Elephas maximus indicus: one gene and its partner. The protein of the gene in region 1 interacts with the protein of each later gene in a biochemical or structural test. Links are inferred from orthologs where the notes say so. Each region holds a gene or a part of one and is shown on either strand. Other genes may lie near its edges. The genes, in order: TRDN and CASQ2.

Region 1 (3,922 bases):
TGGAAGAGTTTGGTGGTTCCTGAAAATATTAAACATAGAATAACTGCATGAACCAGCAATTCTACTCTAGGTATATACTCAAAAGAATTGAAAGCAGAAATGCCAACAGATACTTGTATAATGATGTTCATAGAAGCATATTCACAATAGCCAAAGGTAGAAACAAACTAAATGTCTATCAACAGATGAACAGATAAACCAAATGTGGTATGTATATATGATGGAATGTTACTCAGCCATAAAGAGAAATCTGGTCCTGAAACATGCTACAACATGGGTGAACCTTGAAAGCACTATGTTGAATGAAATGAGTCAGTTACAAACGGACAAATTTTGTGTGATCTGAGCTATATGAAATAGAAAAGGCAGATGTATATGAACTAAATTTTATTAATGGTTACCAGGGGTGGCAGGGTTATTGCAATATAAACAACAGATAAATTGATACTCTCATATATATGATTTTATAAGCCACCAAGTGGAGACTTATAGAAAAATAGCCAAAAAAAAAAGATTTGAAATACAGGAAAAAAAAAATCTCATTTCTAGTAATCAAAGAATTGCAAATTAAATGTAGTTTCCCTCCTATGTCAATGCAGATATTTTAAATACTGTACAGTATTGACAAAGAAATAGAGACTGCTGGATTAAACAATTTTCCAAAAAAATATATTAGTTCCAATATATATGTGGCGACTTTGGTGAAGGGTAAGACAGTACACAATACTGGGGAAGCCAGCACAACTTGTCTAAGTCAAGGTCATGGAAGCTCCATAGACACATCCAAACTCCCTAAGGAATCAAATTACTGGGTTAAGGGCTGTGGGGACCATGGTCTCAGGGAACATCTAGCTCAACTGGCATAACACAGTTTATAAAGAAAATGTTCTACAGTCTACTTTGGTGAGTAGTGCCTGGGGTCTTAAAAGTTTGTGAGTGGCCATCTAAAATGCTCCAATGGTCTCACCTCATCTGGAGCAAGGGAGAAAGAAGAAAACCTAAGACACAAGGGAAAGATTAGTCCAAAGGACTAATGGACCACGACTATCACAATGTCCACCAGGCTGAGTACAGCATAACTAGATGCCCAGGTACCACCACTAACTGCTCTGACAGGGATCACAAAAGAAGGTCCCAGACAGAGCTGGAGAAAAATGTAGAACAAAATTCTAACTCACACACACAAACAAAGACCAGACTTAATGGTCTGACAGAGACTGGAGAAACCCGGACACTATGCCCCCAGACACCCTTTTATCTCAGTACCTAAGTCACTCCTAAGGTTCACCCTTCAGTCAGATATTAGACAGGCCCATAAAAAAAAAAAAAGAAAAGAGACTAAATGGGCATACCAGCCCAAAGGGCAAGAACAAGAAGGCAGGAGGGGACAGGAAAGCTGGTACTAGGGAACCCAAGATCAAGAAGGGGAGATTGGGAACAAGTTGACATGTCATAGGGTTGGCAACCAATGTCACAAAATAGTACGCATATGAATTGTTTAATGAGAAACTAGCTTACTCTGTAAACCTTCATCTAAAGTACAATAAAAAAATTTTTTTTTTAAATAAGATAGGCAGTTTGAATCCACCAGCTACTCCTTGGAAACCCTAAGGGGCGGTTCTACTTTGTCTGACAGGGTTGCTATGAGTTGGAATCAACTTGATGGCAATGGGTTAGGTTTGGTTTTGGTTTATTATAGAAGTAAATTTGCATAACTCCTATAAACTGTGTTCTTTGTCATCAGTATTTGACCTGATTTTCTAAATTGTAATTCTCCTTTCTGAATGTTTGTGTAGGAAATGCATCAACAACTACAACTGTGATAGACAGCAAAAATGGATCAGTGCCCAGATCCCCTGGAAAAGTGCTGAAGAGGACAGTCACAGAAGACATAGTGACGACATTCAGCTCCCCGGCAGCCTGGCTCCTGGTCATTGCTCTCATAATCACGTGGTCAGCTGTTGCAGTTGTTATGTTTGATTTAGTGGATTACAAAAATTTTTCAGGTAAGATAGATTAAATTTAGCTTTTAAATTAAAACAAACATAAATGTTCTCCCCAGACCTGGCTTTGTTTTTCCTTGCCTCATCTTAGTGTATGAAATAAAGAGCGCCACATGTGTGCCTTAGGGCCACTGAAGCTGAGTTCCTTTCTTGCTCTTCCCCTTCTATTCTCCTTCCTTGTGTTGGCAGACTTCAAAGGTACCCTTTATTTGCAGAGGTGAACAAAGGTTGAATGTTGCAGTTTCAGAAAGGTAATGATTAGAAACCTTGAATAGATGTCTAATTTGGGGGAAAAAATGGGAGCTTATCCACCATTAAATACAAGATAATTTGTAAAATTTAAACTTAGTAATACAAAACAAAACAACTTCTGGGCAAAAGAAAAATTTGATAAAATATTTTTAATCCCCTGTATCCTCTGGCTCCAGGCTTCCTTTACAAACACAGTCTTACCTTCTTCCACCAAACTACCCTATTTTGAGTTACTGAAAATAAAGTGTGTTAAAAAGAATTTTCCCAGAATTGCTTGCCATGAGACACTGTTCCTTGAGTCCATGTGTCCTCAGGGATTTGAGGCAAAATACAAATAATACAAATGAGAAAAGACAGATTTTCATATGGTCTATTCAATCTCTAGGAGTCCCTGGGTGGCAGAAATGATTAGGTGATCAATTACTAGCTGAAAGGTTGGCACTTCCAATTCACCCAGAGATGCCTCAGAAGACAGGCCTGGCAATCTGCTTCTGAAAGGTCACAGCCTTAAAAATCTTATGGAGCAGTTCTACTCTGCATACATGGAGTTACTGTGAGTCAGAATTGACTCTACAACCACCACCACGACTACAAATTCAACCTCTAAGTTCCCTGTCCTTCCCTCTGTTAGAGAATTTTTATTTATTTTTAAATTGTATTTATCTATTTTTACTTGGGACTGCCTCTATTCACTAAATTGTTTGAAGACAGGAATTAATCAGGTGCACAATAAATATAAAACGAACCAATGAATGGATTTATCATGCATCACCTTTTACTACAAGCGAAAGCATGTCATTAACCTCTTAATGGTGCTCTTTCATAATTGCACTCCACATTTTCTTTCTCCAGTAGAAGTGGGGGTAAAAAGAAAAGAAAACCAAACCCGTTGCCACCAAGTTGATTCCGGCTCGTAGCGACCCTATAGGACAGACCAGAACTGCTCCATAGAGTTTCCAAAGAGCTGCTGGTGGATTTGAACTGCTGAACTTTTTGGTTAGCAGCTGTAGCTCTTAACCACTATGCCACGAGGGTTTCCAGAAGTGGAGGTAGGACCTGGAAAACATAAATACTATATGTTCCATTTTATACACTCAAGGATCCCGTATTTATCTTTATGACACTTTATTCGCTCATTTTACAATTTTTTATCAAGTACTTACTATGTGTGCTAGTAAACAGCTATGCCAAAGATATCAAAAGAAATACAGGTATAAATATCTTGAAGTCATAGCACTATATTTTTTGGGTTTGTTGACACATAGGTGAAATTTAGATGACTCTGCTAGCTGCACTCTTGGTAGCTGGGCTTGAAATACACGTATAAATATCTTGAAGTCATAGAACTACATTTTTTGGTTTTTTTGACATGGAGGTGCAATTTAGGTGACTCTGCTAGCTGTAGTACTCTTGGTAGCTGGGCTAAAGTGAGAGCAACACGTAAGGGGTAAAGGTAAGACCCATGAATGTCAACCAAAGCAAAAGAGTATTTTCCAGAGCCATAAATGTCTTTTGTAAATAGGCAATACTCAAGTGTAGACTCAAAAAATATACAGTTGAAATGTCTATGATATAAAATTGTAACTATGAGTAAAATATAGTTGGTTGTATTACTCTAAGAAATGTTATTTTCCTTGAGTCAATATTGACTATAGTATTTCACCTGT
Region 2 (3,922 bases), on another chromosome or scaffold:
CTGGCAGGTTTGCAGACAAGCTGGATCACTCATACATTGTTGGTGGGGATGTAAAATGCTACTGCCAGTCTGGAAAAGCTCGTTACTTTCTTTAAACACTAAATATGTGGCTAGTATGTGACCCAGCAATTGCCTGCCTGGGCATTTATCTCAGAGAAGTTAAGATCAACATTCACACAAAAACCTGTACATGAATGTTTATAACAGCTATATTCATCATGGAAACCCTGGTGGCGTAGTGGTTAAGTGTTACGGCTGCTAACCAAGAGGTCGGCAGTTCGAATCCACCAGGCGCTCCTTGGAAACTCTATGGGGCAGTTCTACTCTGTCCTATAGGGTTGCCATGAGTCGGAATTGACTCACTGGCAATGGGTTTTGGGTATATTCATCATAGCCCGAAAATATAAATAGCCCAGATGTCTTTCAACAGGTGAAGACTAAACCAGCTGTGGTACCTCATATCATGAGCTACTACTCAGCAATAAAAAGGAATGATCTATTGATACACGTAACAACCTGGATGGACCTCCAGGGAGAGAATTATGCTGATGAAAAAAGTTAGTCCTAAAAGTTACATGCTGTATGATCCTGTTTATAAAACACTCTTGAAATGAAAAAATTATAAAAATGGAGAAGAGATCAGTGGAGGTGGGAACTGGAGTAAGTGAAGGTGGCTGTAAAAAGGCAATACAAAGGGTCTTTAAGGTCATGGAAAAGTTCTATGTCTTGACTGTGTTGATGTCAATGTCCCAGCTGTGATAGCATACTATAGTTTTGCAATATGCTACCATTGTAGGAAATAAGGTAAAGTGTACTGTCTGTATTCTTTCTTACAACTGCATTCTAATCTCCAATTGTCTTTTCAAAAGTTTAATTTTAAAAAAGTAAGATTAGTGTCTCATGATCTCTCCAGTAGCATCTCCACTCTATTTCTATTTCAAGCCTCCATTCAGCCATATGGCAGGGATTAGATCTCAGGCAACTGAGGGTCTCCCTATCTCCTCATATCTAAGTTTCAGGGAGCTTAGCATGGTGCCAATCTCGTGCTCTGTGGCATCCTCAAAACTGGTATCAGCCCAGAGTAGTTTTCAGCCATCTGCCCACTGAGGACACTGCTGCATCCACCTTACCTTTGGAGCTGAAGTCTCTCTGTGCTTTCCTCCCTCCCCAACTATACTTCCTACTGTGTCACTCTTGGCCACACAGGAGACACTCTACCACTCCTTCCTGTCAATGGGCTTCAGGAAATCTGGAGAGGCCCTCTCAGGCCTATTTGCCAGATACACCAAATGAGCATTTCTATGCCACAAGCACTGGGTGGGGGGACTGGGGGATTATGCTAGGATATAGGGGATTTGGGCCTCCTTTATTCTAAGATCCCTCAAACTATCTGTGGTCCTCTTGCGTCCCCACCCTATTCCAGGTTGACCTGGCAGCAGGGGCAAGGCTCAGAGCCACTTCTCAGGTACTTTTGCTTCCTTTCTGATTCTCTCTTCTCCCAATTCAATTTTACCTATGGCAAAGGCAGAGGAGGGTGTCACATTGGATATATTCTTTCAGCTCTTTTATCTTAGGCCTGGTCTTCAGATTTGATCTCCTTGGTTCTCAGCATTCTGCTGAGTCATCCTTCACCTGAGATAATAAGCACAGAATTCCTTAGCTGCTGCTTCAATTGCCCAGACTAACAGGAAGTATGGAGGAGAACCATCCTGTCAATACATCAAAATATTGTTTTGTGATATTTTCTACCGTCTTTCTCCCTCAGCCCACTTACCCTCCTATTTGTCTTTCCCTTCAGCTTGTGGCCCAGGTCCTAGAGCATAAAGATATAGGCTTTGTGATGGTGGATTCCAAGAAAGAAGCCAAGCTTGCCAAGAAACTAGGTAAGTGTGACTTTTGGGATATACAAGGAAAAAACAAATATCTCTTGCCAAAAAAGGACAGTTGCATTTATTCTCCAATGATAGTTGGACTATTTTTAAGATAAATATAAAATGATGGTGCATAGCTTAGTTTGGGTTGGAAAGAGTTTCATAAATATAAGTCCCAGCCTGATCTGAATAGTTTCACATTAATCATCTGATAATATTTTTGTTTCTGTACAATGAGCAGTTCCTTCCTAGAGAAAATAACACTAAAGAACTAAGCCTTTATTCTTCAGCAACTAGAGCAAGCTCAAAGGCTAGATTCTCTATTTCTCCACCATGGTGATCTCTCTGAGAGATGTCGGATCTCTTCTTCCATCACCTATTATCTCCTTGTCTCTTGGCTGAAGCAAGCAACAAAAGATAGCTTTAATAGTAGTGACTCTGGGGTCCCAAGTGGCTTCTAAATTTAAGGCTAAAACCCAGCCGGGCATTATCACAAAGGATGACAGGGAGCATTGAGGAGAGGAACGGGTAAGTGACTACACAGTGGAAGTTGTAATCTCTTGTGTCCTTAGGTCATACTTAAATGCAAGTGCTCTTTAAGATTCTTGTACCTGTAATCCCAAGCACAGAGAGTACAGGTAACTCCTCCAGTTTTCAAACACCCACACACATGTTCTGCGCATTTGCCTTTTTCTGCATGGTCAGTGAAGAGAGGCTCTTTAAAAAAATAGCAGCAGATTATAAAACAGGACCTTTGAAGAAAGGTTGATTGGATTCGGAGTAGTAAGCATAGGGAAAAAAAAACATTATTAGTGGTGATTCAATAAATATTTTCAGGCCCGTGAAAGTTCATTATCCTGGAGAATTACAGACAACTGTTTTCTATTTTATTTTCAAGAAGTCCAGATTTTTTCAAAAAGATTTAAACTACAGGAGTCAATATTTAGGTTAGACAGGAGGAAGAACTCATGACTGTAAAATGGTAATGAATTATTAATACGAATGTCTGCGGTATCTCCTTCCCTGGAGATAAATTAAGGAGTGTTCTTTCCCTTGAGCAGGGAAGCAAAGTATGTTAAACTCTTTCCGTAGAGTCAAAAGCAGCTTAGTGAGTTCTGCCTTCTCCCCTAGCAGCCTATTGATTCCTTAGTAGTCCCCCTTCCCATTGTTTTAGTGAGAAATTCAATTTGGGAGAACTTCCAGTAAACTTAGCTGCAGGGAAACAGTGGCGTTCCAGTGATTTAAAAGTTTGGGTAGAACAAGCTGGGGCAAGCACTCGTAAGAATGGACCAGTGGGTATTCTTCCAGCAAAGACATGATGGGGCTTGGTACGTCTTAAGGAACCTTTCTCCAAGCTCAGCCTAGAGGAATTGGAGTAGCGTCTTTCTGGCTATTTGACCCTTGGAGTTACTGGACAGTTGTTGTATTTTGTGAACTTGCTCTTTTCATGTTTATCTCTTCTCCATTTGCCTTAGATTGGCTCCCATCAGGCTCTGCCTGAACTAGTGCAACAGCCTCCTAACTGGTCTCACTCAGAAAAAATCTAACAGTGGGCACTGAGTGACGTGTCTATTGAGATTGGCCATTGCTGACTTCAAGCAGTGCGGGCACGATGCTCCTTTAGGTTTATAACCAATGATCCCCAGTGTGCCAGGGGATCCTCAGAGTTGCCTTGAGGCATAGCAGGCAGCAGTCCAGCTGCCTTTTCCCTGGAGGTTCTGCAGAAGAATTCATTTGGAGAAAGCATTCTCCAGCAATAGAGAGTTTGAAAACAATCAATCTAAGGAGTTAGGATGCCAGGCAGTTGGACTAAATGCCAACCTCAGCTATTTAGCATTCCTGGGGGAAAATGCGGTTTTCCAGAAAGCATTTGTTAAGTACACAGACTTACACCAAGGGCAGTGGAGGGTAGGAAAGGAGAAGATGCCCTTGCAGTGTTTACAGGCTAAATGGAAAAGCAGATATACAGGATTCTGCTAGAACAGGAAAACAAGGAATTCATTCTGTCCACTCATTCGTTATGTCCAGGCTCTGGGCAAGGAACTAGGATA

What was found.
Region 2: the proteins of TRDN (region 1) and CASQ2 form a complex in vitro, tested with the Homo sapiens proteins (3 studies listed by BioGRID). The link is inferred for Elephas maximus indicus from reciprocal best matches to the Homo sapiens genes TRDN and CASQ2.

What each region holds. Positions count from the first base shown.
Region 1 is NC_064819.1:191,001,338-191,005,259, reverse strand, and holds the start of TRDN (triadin), read left to right. Parts: upstream 1-1,033; coding exon 1,034-1,091; intron 1,092-1,796; coding exon 1,797-2,006; intron 2,007-3,922. UniProt on the Homo sapiens protein: Contributes to the regulation of lumenal Ca2+ release via the sarcoplasmic reticulum calcium release channels RYR1 and RYR2, a key step in triggering skeletal and heart muscle contraction.
Region 2 is NC_064821.1:164,562,052-164,565,973, forward strand, and holds the start of CASQ2 (calsequestrin-2), read left to right. Parts: upstream 1-1,691; 5' UTR 1,692-1,693; coding exon 1,694-1,883; intron 1,884-3,922. UniProt on the Homo sapiens protein: Calsequestrin is a high-capacity, moderate affinity, calcium-binding protein and thus acts as an internal calcium store in muscle. Calcium ions are bound by clusters of acidic residues at the protein surface, especially at the interface between subunits.